Linked DNA regions of Coturnix japonica. The protein of the gene in region 3 interacts with the protein of the main gene of each other region in a pairwise test. Links are inferred from orthologs where the notes say so. Each region holds a gene or a part of one and is shown on either strand. Other genes may lie near its edges.

Evidence for each region.
Region 1: the proteins of cyclin-dependent kinases regulatory subunit 1 (region 3) and MEOX1 interact in binary tests that used the Homo sapiens proteins (3 or more experiments, as listed by UniProt). The two-hybrid records come from large-scale screens. The link is inferred for Coturnix japonica from reciprocal best matches to the Homo sapiens genes CKS1B and MEOX1.
Region 2: the proteins of cyclin-dependent kinases regulatory subunit 1 (region 3) and CBY2 interact in binary tests that used the Homo sapiens proteins (3 or more experiments, as listed by UniProt). The two-hybrid records come from large-scale screens. The link is inferred for Coturnix japonica from reciprocal best matches to the Homo sapiens genes CKS1B and CBY2.
Region 4: the proteins of cyclin-dependent kinases regulatory subunit 1 (region 3) and SEPTIN3 interact in binary tests that used the Homo sapiens proteins (3 or more experiments, as listed by UniProt). The two-hybrid records come from large-scale screens. The link is inferred for Coturnix japonica from reciprocal best matches to the Homo sapiens genes CKS1B and SEPTIN3.
Region 5: the proteins of cyclin-dependent kinases regulatory subunit 1 (region 3) and XIAP interact in a two-hybrid assay, tested with the Homo sapiens proteins (3 studies listed by BioGRID and IntAct). The two-hybrid records come from large-scale screens. The link is inferred for Coturnix japonica from reciprocal best matches to the Homo sapiens genes CKS1B and XIAP.

What each region holds. Positions count from the first base shown.
Region 1 is NC_029542.1:2,906,946-2,911,342, forward strand, and holds the start of MEOX1 (homeobox protein MOX-1), read left to right. Parts: upstream 1-1,454; 5' UTR 1,455-1,717; coding exon 1,718-2,144; intron 2,145-4,397. UniProt on the Homo sapiens protein: Mesodermal transcription factor that plays a key role in somitogenesis and is specifically required for sclerotome development. Required for maintenance of the sclerotome polarity and formation of the cranio-cervical joints.
Region 2 is NC_029516.1:150,251,745-150,256,109, reverse strand, and holds CBY2 (spermatid-associated protein), read right to left. Parts: upstream 3,022-4,365; 5' UTR 2,922-3,021; intron 1,477-2,921; 5' UTR 1,471-1,476; coding exon 493-1,470; 3' UTR 394-492; downstream 1-393.
Region 3 is NC_029540.1:1,427,891-1,431,903, forward strand, and holds cyclin-dependent kinases regulatory subunit 1, read right to left. Parts: upstream 2,446-4,013; 5' UTR 2,384-2,445; coding exon 2,325-2,383; intron 1,268-2,324; coding exon 1,140-1,267; intron 898-1,139; coding exon 845-897; 3' UTR 584-844; downstream 1-583.
Region 4 is NC_029516.1:45,099,139-45,102,888, forward strand, and holds part of SEPTIN3 (neuronal-specific septin-3), read right to left. Parts: coding exon 3,684-3,750; intron 3,362-3,683; coding exon 3,244-3,361; intron 2,788-3,243; coding exon 2,692-2,787; intron 692-2,691; coding exon 592-691; intron 122-591; coding exon 70-121; intron 1-69. UniProt on the Homo sapiens protein: Filament-forming cytoskeletal GTPase. May play a role in cytokinesis.
Region 5 is NC_029519.1:14,628,250-14,631,999, forward strand, and holds part of XIAP (E3 ubiquitin-protein ligase XIAP), read right to left. Parts: intron 3,628-3,750; coding exon 3,594-3,627; intron 2,447-3,593; coding exon 2,246-2,446; intron 831-2,245; coding exon 637-830; 3' UTR 1-636.

The DNA.
Region 1 (4,397 bases), on a different chromosome or scaffold from region 3:
TTCGGTGGGTGAACACAAGTGAAATATTCTGCATTGACAAAACCACTCTAGGCTATACCATGGACCCTTCTGGTGCCCAAAATATCCACACATCCTTTGCCACCTGGCCTTCCAGACAGAGCAATCTGTTCTTTTTCCTCCTGCCAGGCAGTGGGAAACGTGTCTGAATGTTTGCTCTCTGAACAGATTGAATTATGTAGGAGAGCCCTTCCTGGAGGATGATTTGTGTTTGGCATTTTGCAAGAGAGTCACATTAATGTGAAGGTAAAAGGTGATGTTCTTGATCAGAAAGATCTGGGCTAAGCCCACCTGATTGCTTGGAAAAGCCCAAGCTATAACCCAGCAGGGATTGGGATGAGCAGACTTCTCCCTCCATTTGATTCCTTTAAATGTCACAACTCTGAATTATACAGAAGCCAAATAAAAGTAGCACTTAAAGCACTTAAAGAAAGAAAAACGGAGGCTCTGTGCCCATCTGATAAATCCCTCTGTGTCTACGAGAGCACAAACTCAGCCCAAATGGTGGGATAAAGGGAAAGAGGCGCACACCTATAGGGAGGCATAGCAAAGCAATGGAGCAGGTCGCAAGCAGATTACAGAAACACAGCACATGTGGCTGTATAAATTACCCCTAAAAACACACAAACAGTTGCAGTAACCCCAGTGCAGCCCTGCAGTGATATTTGGGGTGTTCCCAGGTGCCAACCCTCTGTGTCAGAGGGATGGAGAGCAGATTCCCTGCTAACACCCATGCAGCAGCAGCGGCAGCTCCGGGGTCTGCGAATCTGCTTTGTGTTAAGAAGAACCATAAAACTTTCAGCAAAAGATGAAAAACACGTCTCACATTGGCACAAAGGCAGATTTCCTTGTAGGAAGGAGTGGCATAAAGTAGGATAGAGAAAGAATAACTGCCACCAGCAGTAACCATCAGCAAATACAAGTGTTACCGAGCTAAAAGAACAATAATCCCTCCAAAACTTTGCACGTGCACAAAAGTCACCTAAAACAAAACGTTACAACCAGGCCTTAAATCAGTAAATAATCAGTGAAGTGCTTTCTTACTTTTATTTCCCACTTCGCTTCTTGGCTTCAGGAATCTGCTGAATTCCGTATGAAGGGCTTTTTCCAACCTCAAAACTCGGGGAATTTTGTTAACAGTGCAATAAAAATAACTTCATAGTGTCACAGGGAAACATTAAAGCCCTTTTTTGTGCACTGCTCTTCCCTCCCCCCTACCCCTTTTTTTCTTTTTTGGGGGGGAAGAAAAAAATACAGACATTGTTTCTTTAAAAGTCTCCATCTGCAAATCCCATTAGATGTGCATATAAGGTTTCGGATGATTAATAGGTGCTGCTTTGCTTTGGTTGGAGGGAGCGGGTGTGTGTACGTTAACCCCTCCCTCCCCTCTCTCACATTTCACTTCACAAAGTTGTCACTCTCTCCCCAACATAGTATTTAAAAAGTGTTTCCCTCATGTCCAGCACTTCACAAGGACTCCAGCATCAGCTTTGGGACTCTGTTTGGGGCGATCGCCTCCTCCATCCATTTGGGACAATGAACACCTCAAGAAGAGTTTCCAAACTAACAAACCTCCAACCTCACAAACCCCCCAGCCAAAGTGTCGTTTAGGGAGGAAATCTGGGCTGTCAAATCTGGAAACATTTCCCCTCCTCTCCTCTCCTGCTTGAGGAACCTGAGTGACGAGCGTGGGACGAGGATGAACCCCACCGGAGGCAGCTGCATGCGCAGCCCCCAGTCCCCAGCCCCACTCTGGGGGTGCCTGCGGGGTGCCGACGTCCCCACAGCCCCAGGGTTGGGTCACTGCCCCCCAGCCCCTTTCTCCTTCCACCCCAAGGTGGATTTTGCTGCTTATTCTGAATTCTCAGCCTCCTGCTTGCTGAGCTCTGCCCACTGCGTCCCACCTGAGGAGCAGCCCCCAGCTTTCCGTCCTCACTCTGAGTGGCAGCAAGCAACAACAGAGGCCAGGAGACTGCTGAGCCCAGGGCTGGTGTTGGCCTCTGGGGACACAGAGAGCCCCAACGTCGTGAGCACAGCAGCGGGTGTAAGTGAAGATTACGAGGTGCCAGTAAACAGCACGATGGAGACAGAGAGAAAAGGATCCAAAAGGAAAAAGGAGCACTCAGGTAGGTGGCGTGGAAGTGGGGGTGTGGGGTGGGATGGGGAGAATATCTCATGGAGTAAAGCTGATGGAGGAAATATTTTGTGATTCTTGACTAGGGAAAACTATGCAATATCTCAATGGAAATGAAGTTGCTTGTCCCTTGATGACCTTTGGTGTTTGAGTTTTGCTCCTTATTGGCTGAACCCAACCCTTTAGGCAGCAGCTCAGTGCCAACTCAGTGCCATGCTGCGCTCAGAGCCCTAGGATGGCAGATCCATCCCACTGCTCTGCTGCAGTCCAAGGGTGATAGAATGGGGATCAAAGGGCTAAGGTCCCATCAGCTGCCCGTGCTAGCTGGGAATGCCACTCTGGGGTTTTGAACTGCCCACCAGTAGAATGCCCAGCAACATGGGAAACAATCAGTTTTCATTGTGCCATCCTTGCCAACAAAGCACCTTCTTCCTGAAGCATTCAGGAATTACAGACATAAGACATCTGGTTTGTTACTATTTCAGTTCTCCCGATATGTGAAATATGCAGAACATTGCTTTCTCCTAAGGAAGCTGTTAAGATTCAGATGCTTCCATGCAGACATTTTCTACAGTATTCATTTGCAAACCACAGAGTATTGAGAAGCAGAGGGTATTTTCCAGCATCCCCATTTTATGGTTTCAGAGCCAAGACATGGAAATGTTTCTAAGATGTAGAAAAGATCAAAATGCACTTAAATCCTCAAAACTTTCTTTAAAGAACCAATAGATTCAGAGCAGCTACAGAACGGTTTCACTGTGTGATAGTAATAGGAGTATCTGCAGTAAGACCTCACGTGTGAGCACACACATCCCCTTCTCTTCCTCTACCAGTGTTCATTATTTAGATGCCATTTTCAGCCCTGGTGTCCCAGGCACAGCAGTGACCTGAAGATGTCAGTTGGCTTTGGGGGAGCTTTCACAGCTGCCCCTGTGCCTGCCACCCTCTATTCTATGCTGTACAATTTAGCAAAGCATTTATAGAAACCCCTTTGCAATTACAGCATTAAAGAGGCTGAAAGGTGTTGTAATGACTTTGGGCTTCATACATCTTTCATTTACTACCAAGGAAAGACCTAACAACACCACTCAAGCAGCAAGGAAATTCCAAGCCCTAACCCTAAACTAAATTAGCCTTTAAAAGCATAAGATAAGCACTGAAAGTTCTGGGATGCCCACTGGGTGGAGGTTGAGTCTAAAGAAACGCCTCCCTCTGATTTCACACGTTGAATGTTGTTGAGAATGGCCAACTGCAGACAGGCAGTTTGGATACCCCAACTTTAGCTGATGATTAAGGCATGAGCTGAAGGATAAGACAGCAAGAAATAGGCATTGCTGTAATGATGTGTAGTAACATAGTGATTCTGACAACTTTGCTAAGTCATGCCTTTGGGTAAAGAGGGTGCTTCATGCTTTCAGGTCCCATTAACAGCCACAATGGCATAGAAAGCAGAACATAAGGGCAGGTAGAAACTGAAAACCTGAGCAAGAAAAGTGTAGGGAAGTCCCTCAGCAATTTAAAGTGATCTGGGGGCAGAGCTCCATCTGTCACCACCCCGTGTGCTCCACTCCATGAGGTGCCCACTGAAGTTACTTGTGGTTATTACTTTATCGCTGGCTGCCAAATGAATCAGCTCCCCATGAAGTCACTTCACTTGGCCAACGTTCCCAAGAGCTTTCAGGATTTTATGCCCCGTGTGACAGCAAAATCCATCTTACTACTTGATTTGCAATAAATCTGCCCTCAAACTCTTTACTAGGGGGAGAAAGCAACGTTATGCAGATACTTTGGATTTTTATTATGCCTTCTGCTGAGGGAAAAACTGCACTGACAGTGGTTTGCAGAATAACAAGCACCAGGTGCCTCCACCAGGGCTGTGGATCACCACAATGACCAAACAACCTGTGTTACCATTGGTGACCCCCATGCTTGAGCTTAAGCTGCTCTGAGGGATCGGAGAACCCCCTGAAATGCCCAAATCCTGCATTGTGTGGTCCTTTCACCTTCCCCAAAGCAGTTTGCCAGCTAAGCCTCTCTGCCATACATCTCCTTTCAACACCAAGTGGGGCACTGCCTGCTCTGTTCCCAGAGGCTATTTCAGATGATTCACATTGTTTGGAGATGAAGACCAGTGACACCCTCAGTGCCATTTGTCCAACAGTTTCTGCTCAGCTTGCAAGCAGCTGAACGCCTGCAGGACTGAGTGCTGAGTCAGGGAATGCCACTACCCCAGCACTGCTCATTT
Region 2 (4,365 bases), on a different chromosome or scaffold from region 3:
TTCTATGTCACGCTGTCTTTCATGACTCTGTATCCTGTGAGAGACCACATTTTCTGTGTGAGAGAGAAGGCTGGTTCATAGCAGCTGGTACAGTTCAGCCACTGAACATGGCCAGCCATAAGAAGGGGACAACTAGGGACCCAAACTCAGTTCCCATCTGAGTTTCTTATTTTCAGGAAGTGCCAATCATCTCTTTGAAAAGTATGGCCAACCTAAGGTACCTCAAATTAAGAGTGAAAAGAATGAACTCTTTTTTGAATATGCAGGCTCTCCATTAGCAGAAAATCCCCCCCAAAAGGCTGAAAAGCATGCTTTCCAGGCACCACGCTACCAAAAGTTGAAATCTGCCCAGGTAATATAAGAAAGTTTCAGAATAACACAATACTCTCCAGCTTTAATTTTAGTTCATGCTCTGCTTGTATTTTATTAAGTTCCTGGAAACAAAGAGAGGCACTTTCCAGGAAACAGAACTAGCAGGTTTAGCACCAGGCTTCAAATCTCTCCAAGTTGAAACTCGTTTGCCATGTTCTTCCCTTCTTCTTCATATATTGGGAAAGTGATGGCGATGAGCTCTTTCTCCAGCATTTCCAGTTGAGTTGTAATGTCTGACACAGTGTTTTTCACGTTATTCAGCTGCAGCTTCAATTTCTTGTACTCTTCCTGGAAGAATTTTTTCTCATCTTGGAGAGCGTGAAGGCTGTCTCTGTCATCAGCAAGACATTTCTCCTTGAGGAACACCTGGAGAATCTGGTATAAGTCATGGAGAGCCTGAAGGATTTCATTATCATCCTCTGCGGTTGGTGCAATCTTGGTGTCATTCTGGGTTGGCGTGGTGCTCTCCTCTTTGGCATCATGCTCCTCCTGGGAGGATGTGCCAGGGCTACCTTCTCCCGCAGCTGTGGTACATTCAGTGACCTTCTGAACTGAGCTGGCGCCTTTGTTCTCTTCTTGGACTATGAAGGTTGGTTGATCTTTCCAAATGCTGGGAACTGTTCTATTCTGCTTATGGAAAAACTCTAAGAAGCTGCTTCTTTCTCTGACCAGCTGGAGAGCCTTGTTGCTTGGACTGACCTGAAAACCTAAATGCCTCTCTGGGAAGAACGAGGACAGCTTATCTTTCTGGAGGCTTTGCTGGATGATGTCACTGTAAACAAGCTGGACACCTTTGTTCTGTGTCTGGAGATATTGCAGAGCCTTATTTTCTTCCCAGAGCATCCTGTTTTCGATACGGAGGACTTGGTTTTCCTCCCAGAGGGCTCTGTTCTCCTCCCAGATGCTCCACTCGTTCTCTGTCTTCTTGTTAAGGAGTCTCCTCTGGGATGCAAATGTTGGCTGGCAGTGCACCTCATTCACCCATTTACCATCAATAAATGTAAATGTCTCATCCCTCAGTTTCATCCGTGGGAAGACACAGTCCATCTCGGGCCTTGTACCCCGTGTGCTCTGGTTTGTCAGGTCAAAAGCAGACATGGTTATCTGTTGGCAAACAGAGAAAGATTGTGAAAAGACTTCTGCAGGAGGCCACTGCAGGAGGCCACTGCCCACTGGCAAGGACTAGATGACACAGAAGCTGGAGATGAAGCTTGATTAGGACTGCAAGAACAGGAGAAAACAGGCACTAGTGGAGAAGGCAAAGCCTTGGTGGCACCACAAAGTTTGATACAAAAACCTGGACTCTCTTTTCATCCCCTTGCATCAGTTTTACAGTCATGGAAGATAAATAAAATGCAGAAAGTCATATGAAATGAGATTGAGATTGAACTGCTTTTTAAAACAAAAGTATTTGTTTCTTTTTACCACAGCATAAAACTGTTGGGTTTTTTTCTGATAAAAAAAAAATGGTAGGCTGACTGCCAGTTTTTATCCTTCTTGCCCCAAAGCCTTCCAGTCACCCTCCTGTCCTATATGGCATCCAGTGCTGCCATATGACTGGTGGGCAGTCATTTTGCCTCTGTATCTGTCCCAAGCACTTGGCAGGGGGTCAAAGCCATGGCCCAGCTCTGCCAGGACACTGAACCCTTTGTCCTGTTTTGCCCCACAACCTTCACCAGCTGCTGCCTCCCTGGGCTCCTCCAAGTTACTTCTGAGACCCACCACCCACAGCTACCTCCTTCTTTGCCTTCCCAAACTTGCTTGAAAGCTCAAAGACATATTGCTACTGTTCAAAGCCCCAAATCTCTTCTTGAAGGAATAATTGCAATATGGGTCTGTTTGCCGTAACACTTGATTTTATTGATATAAGGTCTCTGCTTAACTTTCAGAGCTGCCTTCCGCATTGCCATCTGGTATATCTCACATCAGACTTGTGTTTGCATAATGTCATTCCTCTGCTAAAAGGGATTTCCCACTGTTTGCAACTGCTTGCCAATTTCCGCGTTTATTTTTCCCCCTTACATTGTGTTCAGAGCACAGCGAGCAATTTGTTGCTCCCTGCCTCACACAGACCTGTCCTTTTCCCTCAGAGGGTGCTGATGTCCCTGTCATTATCCCCATGATGGGAAGCTGAATCACAGGGGGAACTGATCCCTAAACCCTGATGAGAAAACAGCCAGCATCACAAGCCAAGACCCACCCTTCACTGTGTTTCATGCGCAGGCATTTAAAGCCACTTATGTTTAAAGTGTTTATATGGCAAGTTTTGAGGATAAACAGCAGTATATAATGTATACAGCATTGAAGGATGTTGTCCTGGGGTCAATTAAACTTGACAGCACCTCTATCAGCTCCTGTGTATTGCAGGGGAGAGGTCAACCCAGGCTTCAGAGAAATTTTCCCACCTTCCTTATTCATATTCCCAAACTAAAAATTCCTTCCACAGGATGGGGAGATGGGTTGGAGGAGCAGGGTTGGGGGAGACCGCATGAAATCAAGCATATATAGGTGTTTTGGCAGTACCAAATTACATACCAGCATGTACTCACCTGCTTGTTGGAGATGATACTCTACCCTCTTCACTGCCCTGCACAGCTGCCAGGTCTCCGCTTGGCTTTTTAGCCTGAAGTTCTGCTCCAAGTTCTGTATGGGGGGGGCATGGTGATGAGATGGGACAATGGAACCCACTGTGATGCGATCACCACGCCCAGAGCCAGCCCCTTCTCCACAAGTCCAGGAGCTCCCCCCTCTCCCCCCTCACAGCCCATTTTGTTTTATTTTTCCCAGCATTGCACATTTGGGTCATTTCTCATGGAAACGACCTTTCCAGTAGCCTAGCTCTCACGTCCTTTCTTGAACCCAGGCTTCCCTCTCTGATGCACATAACTGAGAGCAGTTTAGATGGATTCTCCCTCCATCACGCTCTCCTAAAAGAAATTTTGCTTTTATTCTGAATCTAACACATTAATTCTCTGGCTGAACCAATGCTGATAAGTTCAAAAACCACTTCCTTCTGTGTATGCGCTATGACAGCTGAAGTTATTTTTAAAGGACAACATGGATATGAGTTTTTCTGTAACTATAAGTTAAAGAGTAGATCATCACTGAACCCCATTAAGAAGAAAACAGAACATGCAGGGCATTCATGCATTACAAGTTTAGATATTATTTATAGCAGCTATTCCTGCTTCCATGTCTTTATGTTTCTAATAATCTCATTCTCTCTCTTATTTGCTTAATCTTTTAGATGTGGATTATTTCTTCATCTTTTTTCCTGTCATCAGGGTTTTTGAATAATAAATACAGCAATTAATGTCTATTCCAGTGAAAATTACCAACTTGACATCAATCCCAAAGTGACTGTTATTGCTTTAGGAAGTTAAAGGTATAGTTTGGCTTCAGTGTTCTGCAAAGATAATAAACTTAGGCATACAATTCTCTTCTGTATTTTTTTCCTTGTTTCTATTTCATCTCAGACAACACAATAAATAAGTAAATCAGAAGTTCCCATGACAACTCCCCGGGGTTCATTCTCCTCTGTTCAAGTTCTGGGGTCCTACAAAGAGAAACTGGAAAATATCCCCCTAAGAAGTAGTTGGCCTTCAGTCAGATGGCAGTGCCAGGGTGCTGTCCAGCTGCTACAGCTCTCAGGGGAGGCAGCTGAACTTCTGAATACCTGAGTGTGTGGACCACTGGCACAGACCTTAAATGAAAGTTTTAAGTTCTAAGAGCCGACAGAAAACTGAGCTAACAGAGACAAGGGCACCGTGGATTTATCAGCAGGCAAAGCCTGCTTGGTCCAGAACTCCTAGGAACTAAGTTAGCTGCATACTTTCACTTTTTCTTATGCATTTTCTTATTGTCCTGAATGTTGGATAAAGTTCTTCTGGCAAGTCACTTCTTTGTTGAAAGTTACAACTTCAAACAGTAATATATTTGGATCCAATTTAGCGAATATCATCAGATGTGCATACATGTATGTGGAGACACACA
Region 3 (4,013 bases):
CATGGGGGGGGGTGGGGGGGTTGGGAGGCGGTCCGTGGGGGGGGGTGGGGGGGGTTGGGGAGGGTCCGTGGGGGGTGGTGGGGGGTTGGGGAGGGTCCGTGGGGGGGGTGGGAGGGTCCATGGGGGAGGTGGGGGGGTCCATGGGGGGAGGTGGGGGGTCCATGGGGGGGTGGGGTTGGAAGAGGTCAATGGGGGGGCTGGGGAGGGTGGGTTGGGAAGGTCCATGGGGGGGGCTGGGAGGGTCCGGGGGGGAGGGTCCATTGGGGGAGTGGGGGGTTGGGGAGGGTCCTATGGGGGGGGTGGGGTTGGGAAGGGCCCTTGGGGAGGCTGTTGGAGAGGGTCCATGGGGGAGGGGGGGTGGGGAGGGTCCATGGGGGGGGGGTTGGGGAGGGTCCATGGGGGGGGGTTGGGAAGGTCCATGGGGGGGGAGTTGGGGAGGGTCCATAGGGCGGTGGGTAACGGAGGGGGGGGGGGAGGGAATAGCACGCCCCCAAAACCACCCAGGGAAGGGCTGTTGCTATGCACCAGGAGCTCCTCCTGCCTCCCACCCCCCCTTAAAGGCAGAATTGCAGCACACAGCAGCTCCCAAATATCCTTTTATTGAAGCTTTTGAGAACCCCATCCCCGCAGCGCTGTGCCCTGGGGCTGAGCCGCTGCAGGTGCCCAGATAGCACTGAGTTCATGAGCATCAGGGGCACCCAGTGGCTCTGCCCCCGACAGGGAAGCTCCTGAGAGCAGAGTATGTAAGAGAAGAGGAAGAAGAGGAGGATGATGATGATGATGATGATGATGAAGGTGCTTTGTAGCCCAGGCAGCCGAGGGCTGTGGCTGACCCGGGGAGAGCTCACTTCTCTGGCTTCTTAGGCAGCGGCCGTCGGAAAAGGAGGATGTGTGGTTCTGTGGGGATATAGGATATAGAACAGATTCAAGCCAGGCTGTGGGTATGGAGCCCACGTCCCATAGGGCAGCCATATGGGGCTCATAGGGTAACCATAGGGGGCTCATAGGGCAGCCATATGGGGCTCATAGGGTAACCATAGGGGGCTCATAGGGCAGCCATAGGGGGCTCATAGGGCAGCCATATGGGGCTCATAGGGCGGCCATACGGGGGCTCATAGGGCGGCCATACGGGGGCTCACCTGGCTCGTGGATCATGTAGTGCACCCAGCCCTGGCTCTGCTGCACACCCAGGTTCCTCCACTCTGATTCGGACATCAGGTGGGTTTTGGGCACCAGCTTGGCGATGTCTTTGGGCAGCATCACGTGCCTGTGGTCACAGGGGTTGCTCAGCCAGGGGCAGTGACACAGTGCTCCGCCCACAGGCCCTGACCCAATGCTTACCCCCCACCCCCAATCAGGTCCAGGTCCAGGCCCAGGCCCGTTACCCACCCCCACCCCACACCCACCAGCCCAGACCCAGTGCCCAGCCCTCCCCCTTCGGGCCCAAACCCGGTGCCCCCCTCCTCTTCCCTCAGGCCCAAACCCCTGCCCATCCCCCTCCCCCTTCAGTCCTAGGCTCAGACCCGGTGCCCCCCCATCACGCCCAGACCTTGTCCCTGTCCCCCCACACTCCTCCCCCTTCGGGCTCAGACCCAGTGCAGCCCCCTCCCCATTCAGGAGCAAACCTTGTCCCCCTTCCCTCCCTCTTCAGGTCCAGACTCAGACCCGATGCCCCCCCCCCACGATCAAGCCTAGGCCCAAACCCGGAGCCCCCCCAGCCCGCATCAGGCCTAGGCCATTACCCCCAACCCCTTCAGGCCCAAACCCTATCTCCCCCCGTCAGACCCAAACCCGGTGCCCCCATCAGGCCCAAACCCGGAGCTCCCCTCCCTTCTTTCCCTCCCCCCCTCGGCTTAGACCCGGCGCCTCCCCTCCCCCTTCAGGTCTAGACCCAGTGCCCCCCCCCCCCCCCCCACATCAGGCCCAGGCCAAAACCTATTCCCCCCCCCCCACCATCAGGCCCCAGACCCGGAACCCCCCCCTCCCTCCCCTCCCTCCCCTTGCCCCCCCCTCCTTCAGGCCTAGACCTAGTGCCCCCCACCCCACTCAGGCCCAAACCCGGTGCCCCCCCATCAGGCCCAGGCCCATTACCCCCCCCCCACCTCAGGCCTAGGCCCAAACCCGGTGCCCCCCCCCCCATCAGGCCTAGACCCGGAGCCCCCCCTCCCTCTTCAGGCCTAGACCCAGCTCCCCCCCCCCCCCCCTCAGGCCTAGGCCCATTCCCCCCCCCCCCCTCAGGCCTAGGCCCAAACCCGGTGCCCCCCCCACCCAAACCCCCCCCCCCATCAAACAACAACCCCATTCCCCCCCCCCATCATCCTCACCGGTACTCGTATTGCTCGTCAAAGTACTTGTCGGAGTAGTAGATCTCCTTGTGAGCCATTGCCGCCCGTTCCCGGTCCGCCCCTTTCCCGGCAGCCCCCACCTCGCCCCCTCTCCTCAACCCCACGGCGGCCGTTGCTTCCCCCCTCCCCCACCTCCACTTCCGGTTCCCCTCAACGGTGCTTTCAAACGCCGCCGCCCCGCGCTCTCATTGGTCAGCTCCCAGAAGGCGGGCTTAACGATTCGCGCGCTGATTGGTTGATTGCTCTAAGAGACACGCCCTTTCACCAACCCCCCCCCATTCTCCTTTAGGGTTCTTGCGTCACGTGACGGGGGGCGTGGACCGGAAGTGAGTGGCGGCGTGGCGGGGGGAGGGGCGCTCGGTGCTGGGAGCTGAGGCCGCCGGGACCGGAGGAGACCGGCGTGAGACCCATGGTGCCCCGGTGAGCATGTGGGTCATCTTAGGTCGGGTGGGCCTCATATGGGGCTGTAATGAGGCCTGTAGGGCCTGTGGGAGCGGTCCGGGCCTTTAGGGGGTTCCCGGTGGTTCCGTAGGCCCCGGTTTGTGGGGGTAGGCCGCAACTTGAGGTCGTGTGGAGCTTCCGGTGTTGTTGGGTTGAACCCGAACATGGCGGGGGTTATGTGTTATGAGATGGGAAACGGCGCTTCCGGGATGTCCGGTCCCGGTATTACCGGGTGTATTACCGGGTATTACCGGGTATTACCGGGTATTACCGGGTATATTAACGGGTATTAACGGGTCACAGCGTTGCCGGTGCTTGTGGGGGAGCCGCTGATCGCCTCTATGCTGTTCGGGAGTCCCGGAGCTCCCAGTGTTGTTATAGGTGTGTGTGTCACCGCTGCCGGTAACCGGGGCTATTAGTAATGCTAATAGTAATTGGGGAGCTCATAACGGAGATGGACCGGCACCGAGTGGGGTAAAGAACCGGTTACCGTGGGTAAACACCGGCTTTGAGGCTTCAATGGATGTCTGTCAGATGGATGTCTGTCCGTCATGGGCTGTTCCTGGGTCTCTATGTCAATGGGTCCCATGGATCTCTATGTCAATGGATCTCCATGTCAATGGGTCCCAATGGATCTCCATGTCAATGGGTCCCATGGATCTCTATGTCAATAGATCCCATGGATCTCTATGTCAATGGATCCCATGGATCTCTGTGTCAATGGGTCACATGGATCTCTATGTGAATGGGTGTCCCATGGATCTCTATGTCAATGGGTCCCATGGATCTCCATGTCAATGGGTGTCCCATGGATCTCCGTGTCAATGGGTCCCATGGATCTCCGTGTCAATGGGTGCCATGGATCTCTATGTCAATGGGTGCCATGGATCTCTATGTCAGTGGGGTCCCATGGATCTCCATGTCAATGGGTGTCCCATGGATCTCCATGTCAATGGGTGCCATGGATCTCCGTGTCAATGGGTCCCATGGATCTCTGTGTCAATGGGTCCCATGGATCTCTGTGTCAATGGGTCCCCATGGATCTCCATGTCAGTGGGTCCCAATGGATCTCCATGTCAGTGGGTCCCATGGATCTCCATGTCAGTGGGTCCCATGGATCTCCATGTCAGTGGGTCCCATGGATCTCCGTGTCAATGGGTCCCATGGATCTCTGTGTCAATTGGTCCCATGGATCTCCGTGTCAATGGGTCCCATGGATCTCTGTGT
Region 4 (3,750 bases), on a different chromosome or scaffold from region 3:
TGAAGAGGGTCTCAGGAAGATTCCCTTTTCATCAAAAGATGAGAATCATGGGAATGACTGCGGCCTTACCTAATGACAAAATCTCGAAGCAGGGCAAATTCACAGTGAGTGAGGTTTTCCACTGAAAAGAAAGCAAGGAAATGTTATGTGTGGTTTTTCAGCAACCTGCTGGTCGTTACAGAGCATGGGATGGTCATTGCTATGGGACATGCATGTTTCAGGTGGCATGCTTCAGAAAGAATGGACAGTTGTGTGAACAGCAGATAAGCTCTCAGGCATTGAGCAGATATGCTGAGTGGTCACAGGTGGATTTTCATTGGAAAACCAAGGAGCTCAGCTTCACACACCCCATGGTGTTGAGAATGGTTCTGCTAGTTAGCAATAGTAGTACCGCACTGACAATGGCAGCTCTCTCCAAGCAGAGCTATTTGAGAGTTCTTGCTTGGCTTCAAACAAAACAAAACAAAACAAAACAAAACAAACTAATACAAAAACTCCAAAAAACCCACAAAGGCAAAGGCATGGGAAAGTAGCAATGGGACATGTTATCAGGACCCTGTCATCATCTCCCAAAAGCAAGAATTCCCTTACCTTCAATGATTCCCCAAGGTGTTTTCCTGCCCAGGACTCTTTTGCCATTCACTTGGTACTCCTTGTCACTGCCCACTACTGCGAAGGGCATGCTTTCCTGCTAGGGAAAGACAGGTGGAGAGACCTATCAAACCTGTTCCAGAGAGCAGCACCATCACTGTTCCTTAGCCACCTCTCCTCCTTGCAACTCACCAAATGCAAAGCCTTCTGCAAGGGAGGAGATTCTGCAGAGCAAAACTTCACTCATCGTTGCTACCAATAGCATTTTGGGCTCTTGTTTCACCAGTGTCCTTGCACCCCCTGGACTTGGTGTGTACCTTACATCAATGACAAAAACTCCAGAGAAGGGAGTAAAGCTTTTCTGCACACACCTCCAGCATTTCTGAAGGGCAAGGTGACCAGAGAGGAAGCGCTTTGACATACCAGGTGAGTGTCATCCTGGGGCTCCTCACAGGAATAGTTTGCTGAGAGTATTTCTCATCAAATTTGCAGTTTTTTGCTAGAAAATTTCACAATAATCCCCTCAACAGAACATTCAAAGATCAGTTACTGAAATGGTTGCACTGAGGAAGGCCAGAAGACCCTGGGAGGTGGGACAGTAGGTGAGACTATTGTGGATCAAGGTAGCTTTACACACAGGGAGAAAATTCATGCTTCCAGAGAACAGGGTGCATGAGTTACTACTATCCATAAGGCTGTCTGGTTATTCATAGATTTATCCTGGTTTGTAGACTTCCCTAGGAAGGGATTGCAATTACCACAGGAATGGGATATTTTGTTCTTTATTATTATTTACTCTATTATTTTGTTTATTTCTTACATGTGAGACTGCCAAACCCAGGGCAATTAGGCTGAAGCACAGAACAAATTGTGGTGCCTTCCTCACAAACAGTAGCAGTTTGGAGGAGAAGCAAAACCCATCTGGTCTCCCCCAGAGAGTGTGATGTGTTGCCAAATGGGAAATGATTAATGAATCCGGGGGAGGTGGGAATCTCTGCTGGGGCTATGGCAGCTAGGGAGCTTGAAAGAGCAAGTGTCAGGCTGCCAGGCAGTTAGTTACTGCTAGAGTTTCCTGGCAATTACCACAGAAGACAATATTTCTGTGAATAGTTAAGCCCTAAAATTAAAGAGTGGGCTAACTAAAAGCAGAAGTGTCACAAAGCCAGGAGGAGTTGTCTGTACAGAGGCAGACTGGGTTATTATCCAGAAAGATCTATGTAAGTCTGAGGTACGGAGAGCAGCTTTTAGGGAACAACACCAAGAAGTTCTGCTATGACTTTTGAGTTTGTGCACAAGAAATGACTGAAGGAGGGGAAGGATCCCATGTGCCAGTCAGTCACAGGATGACCATGCGTCACCAGTGTGATGTGATTGCTCAGAGAGCACATGTGGTCCAAGGGCTTAGCAGTTCAGACCTCAGAAAAGACAGGAGTATTGGGTACCCACACCAGTGCCAGAAAATCAAATCAAACTAGAACAGGCACATAATAAAGTAATAATGGAATAGAGGAAAATGGGAAGCTCAGCCAAAGGAGCTTGTCTCATTTAGCTGACCAGAATAAGGCCAGCACAGGATAAGACTGATCTCTAGTTGATGGGACCAGTAGGTAGGAGAAATGTTCAGGTCAGTGTTGGCACAAGGACACATATAATCCTGGGTACAACCTGACCATGAACAAACACAAGTTGGAAATTGGATGGTTTATACCTCTCTGAGGTAGAAAGAATGAGACATCCCTTCTCAAAGGAATTGGCAGGACAATGCTCTGGACTGCTTTTCAGGTAGAGTTTGGCCTGAGCTCAGGAGATGATTGTTTGGGACAGGGATGAACTTGGCCCTTTTGTCCTTAGCAGAGGCCAAACAACATTCAGCAAGAGGAGGTGAAGTACAGTCCATCCTCACTCAGCCTTCCTAGCACCCTCTGGAGATGACAGGGACAAATTAAACTAGGAAGGATGAATGGCATTCTCTTGTGTCCACTGCACCTTTTGCTCAGAGAGCATGAAGCACTTAAAACCTAGTGACACATGTCTGTTTTACTCATTAAATCTGACCAACCCTCAACCACCCTTCCCCTCCCACAATAAAATGTTTCCTACCCTGATTTTGTCGTTTTCTGTTTTATCCTCCAAGTCCTCATCAAATTCTTTCTGAGGGTAAAACTCGATCCCATTCACTTCTAGTTCTTTGCGCACCTGGACAGAGATAAATTTTGGAGCACAAAGCAACATAAACCTGAAGGGAAGGCAGGCAGGATGGTTGGGCAGACATATCTGGGACATCCTTCCAGTGGGGAAAGGCTAGAAGGACTGTCCCCATTGAGGTGTGAAGCAAAGTGAGGACACACAATAACAGTAACAAGTCTTTCTTCCCCATCCCAATCTACTTATTTGGCTCTGTAATTCCCATGACCGAACATATCATGGAATGTCACAGGGATGCCTGCTGTTCTTCCCCCTCTATTAGATGTGATCTCAGAGCCATGGACAGCTGCATCTTCAGGGCAGTGCCAGGACTTACCCACCAATCCAATGCTGGCCTCTAACTGCCCTGTGGACTGAATTGCATTCCCAGCAGAAAGGATATGGCTCATTTCTCCAATCTCCCAGCCAGGGAAGGGAGGGATCCCATGCAGAAGGAGAGATACTCACTCTTTGTTTGAATTCAGTCTTCTCCTCCAAGGTCATGGTGTCAGCCTTGGCAATAACCGGGATGATGTTCACTACCTTGCTGAGATGTTTCATGAACTCCAGGTCCAAGGGCCGCAGGCTGCAGCCCAAGAAGGAACAACATGGAAGGGGTCACTTTACCCTCCTTGCCCTTCTAGTGACTGTCCCAGCATCAGGGCATCAGCGAGACCTCCATGTTCCCATCCATCCTGCCCACTCCCAAAGAAAACACAATTGTGTTTCTCCTGCCTTTGTCATCCAGACCCTTTCAAGCCCTGCAATGCCTGAAGTTAAGCTAATAGCATCCAGCCCTGCTGGAAGGAATCCTGGTCCCGTGGCTGAGACTGAGCAGTACAGGGTGTATATCTGCCATATGAAGTGGCATGAAGGAGATCAGGAAGAACAGGGAACTGCATACGTACGAGTGGCCCGTGGGGGAGATGAAGTAGAGGCAGCAGTGCACTCGCGTGTCTGGAATTCGTTTCTTCC
Region 5 (3,750 bases), on a different chromosome or scaffold from region 3:
AACGTTCAAAGTAACATCATAAAAATTACCCTAAAGCAATTTATTTCCTCTGATGAGGCTGTTACCCCTGGTCCCACTAGAAGAGAGAATTAAGCAGGTCTATTTTTGACGAATGAGCTGAGCAAATGGTAATTAGTAGAAACATGGTCTATAAAAAGCAGGTTTTTTTCTGCTACTTATATACTCTCTCTGATTTCTCATACTTGTTAGTGGGGGAAAAAAATGCAGCATCAGTGCTACTCAATCAAAACCCCCAGTTTTCCTGTGCCATTTCCTGAAAGAACATGTGTATACTTAACTCCTGTATTCACAGAAGATTAGTAGAAGCATGAATACAAACAGAGCTGAAAATACAGTAACAGTTATTTTACAACACAACTTCAAAGTAAAAGCACAGAAAGTAAGGAGAGCACTAAGGAGGCAGTAGGATGAGTGCTTTAAACAAAAATCTAGCAGCTTCTGACAGTCAACTCATTTTTCAGGGTGTTGATTAAAGCTTTACTGTTTACATTATCTCCAAAGTGAGATGCGCCGTGTGTGCTAGACTGGTGAACACCCAACCGTCTGTTATCACATTACACACGTTTAAAGAAATAAAGCAGGAAACAGTTACATCTACAGTACTGCACCATCTCACTAATACATAAAAATTTTCTGTCTTTTTATAATATTTGTACAACACAGTGGACATTTATTGACTGCTTCAGCACATTCCTTACAAGCAACCAGGTGACCACAGGGAATGAGGACTACTGATATGTCTTTAGCCATACAGATTTTACAGAGCTTTTCTTCCTGCAGGCGTCTTAACTTCTCTTCGATACTGAGATCTAAGAAGAATAAACACACAGAAAGTAGTTAGTATGTTTTCATAGTATCTCATCTCATTTTTTCCCCCCTCCACAGAAAGACAGAGGATTTCCTTTCCATGTCATTTAGAAGTTACACCTTTAAAAAAGGCAAAAAAACCCACAACCCACAGACAAAACCACACAAGACGGGAAACCAAACTAAAATGAAATCTTCAACGTCTGTTTTTTCCCCCCACCTCCCAGACCAGTGCAGGGAATTCAGCCATCTCTGTTGGTAAGACCTTGAAATATCTGTGGAATCTAAGATACACATACTGCAACCAGGAGCCATTTGTTTTTTTAGAGACTTCCCACAGACAGCTTTCTCAAAACCTACACAGAAGGTGGAAGAAAGGATAATCAATCCTGGTTAAGTAATTTGGATTTACTTTTCCCCAGCAATTTTCCTCAGGCTAAAGAATGAGGATATCACTTCCCTCCGTCCTTCTGTTTATGAAAATGCCTATACTTCAAAAGCTTAAAAAACTGTCATACAGAAACAATTTGTTTTGCATTGTAGATTAGCTCTGCAATTTCTAGTAAGCCTCATTTGAAAATACACACTACAAAAGCCTTCTGCAGCATGGGGAAAGTTCCCTGCAGTCAGTCACAAAAATAATGCCCATCTTCATTGCAAGTTCTTTCTCTGCATAATATCCATGAAAAATGTTATTAAAAGGGACGGGCTAGTGAGCTCTCTGTCTATCATGCCAACCAGATGGGCTTTTCTCTCCCTCTGAATTCATCCATATGGTTGTCTTTAAACTACAAATAAGCTCTTGAGTGGGACAACTTGTTTCTGGTCAATCAGCAGGGCATACCACAATGGCTTTTCTGAGAATGACTTGTATGCCCAAACATAGTTGCAACGTAAATAATTAAAAAGGAATGTTGTTCAGTAGCAACTGGAGCAGTTCCTTATTGGCCAGGAAGGAGAATGCTTCTATTCAGTGCTGTTAGTAATGGCACCAATTTTACACTTGAAACATTTTAGCAGTGTAGTATTAAATTTTTTGTACACTGAATATTTGACAATAAATTGTGTTTACTTCCCCATATCTACAATTATCCTTGCCATTGTCACAGTAACACTGGCTAAAAAGCTAACCTCAGAGGGTACTGAACTATTATTTCAATATGTTTTGTGGTATTAATACTAAATATATTTTGCACGTGACATTCTACTAACCTCAAATATTTTTTAACACCCCCTTGCTCCACTTCTTTGATGCCCAAAAATAAGATATAAAACTTTAAGCTCCAATATTGTAACTTCATATTAAGCAATACTTGAGTCAGAGGGCAGAATGAATAGTTAATGATAGGATATACTTCATAGACAAACAAGTTATTGTGAAAGTACACATGTAGGTTTTACAGTTTACTAAGCTCACCTTGCTCAAGCGGGCTTTCCTTTGGTGGTTCTCCCTTTATATTTTCTTTCTGAGCACTTATTAAGTCTGCTACCAGATCCTCAACAGACGTATAGCTTTCTCCAGACACGTGCAACTTCTTTTCCATAGTGCTCCTAATCTCAGACAAACTGAAACCCATGTGTACAGCGTTCTGTACCAACTGATTCTGTAAGAGGTCATCTAAAACAATAAAGGAAAAGAAAAGAACACCACAATTTAACATACATATACATATATATATATACATATATATATATTTAACATAATATCTGATTGTATTCATTATAGTTAAAACACCTTTGCAGATATTTAGCAAAAAGAACTGCATTTCTGATTTGAGAGTTATGCTGCTTTTAAGTACTGCATTGGAAAACTCGAGAGCTTTTCAGTCCTTGTTTTCCCAGACTCTCTTCATCTGCTTATAGTATGGAAATCCTCCTAGGCTTGCGATTCAAATCAACTACTTCAACATTTTCAACACAATTCCTTAAATCACATGTCCTACATAATTTGTGAAACAAAGTCCAAAGCTGAACATTAACTGAAATCATCATAAATCCCAAGGAACAGTAAATACTAAAGTATTTGCTAACTTTACATTAGTTGTAATTCAGTTCAGAAAAGAAAAACAACCCATCCATCTGATAATAGAAATCAATACAACAATATGAATTTATGAAATCGAAACACAAGCGCAATCACTTCAGAATTTCTGAAGTCAGTCTTCCCAGGATAACACACACCACTCATTTAGGACACAACTGCTCTTCAGTCTATGGGACTTCCTCCTCTCTCTTTTTCAATGTAATTGCTTGAATAGATTTTCCAGCAGTGTGTCCTATGTATTTGAAAAGCTTTTAAAATAGATCTTGTGTAAGCACTCTTATCAGCAAGAGCTTTCATTCCACATCGCGCTGCAGCATGACTGCCTGCCTATTGTTTCTTTTACCATCTCAGCGTTCTCATATTCATAAGAAACATTATTTTACCATAACACATTCCTCCACATAAGTCATTTAAGCTTCCTCGGCTTCCTAGATTCCTTGTCTTTTTGCAATGTAAGTCTTCCCACCTCATGAAAATCAACAACAATCACTTTGTTTCAGTATTCTGCAGTGTTCATCATGTAACTTCTCTAATTCAATGCAGTATTTATCCACTGATGATTAGAGTTATCACACGAGAAACAAAATTCATTGTGCAATTTAGAAGGAACAAAGCAGTAAAAGAATATCACCCAACAATTTGCCTGCCATTTTTGAAAAATATAATAGAGTTAACTTAGAAATTTGGTTTTATTATTATTATTGTTATTTTTACTATATACCTTCAGGAAGTATTGAAACTTCAGCAGCTTCTATCTAAAAAATAAATAGAAAGATGAAAAAAATTACAATTCTGGAATGAGTACGAGGAGACCTATACAGTTATAAGACACAAAATAGCTATTTGACCTCAGTTATTTTATTGAGTAAAACTACTAT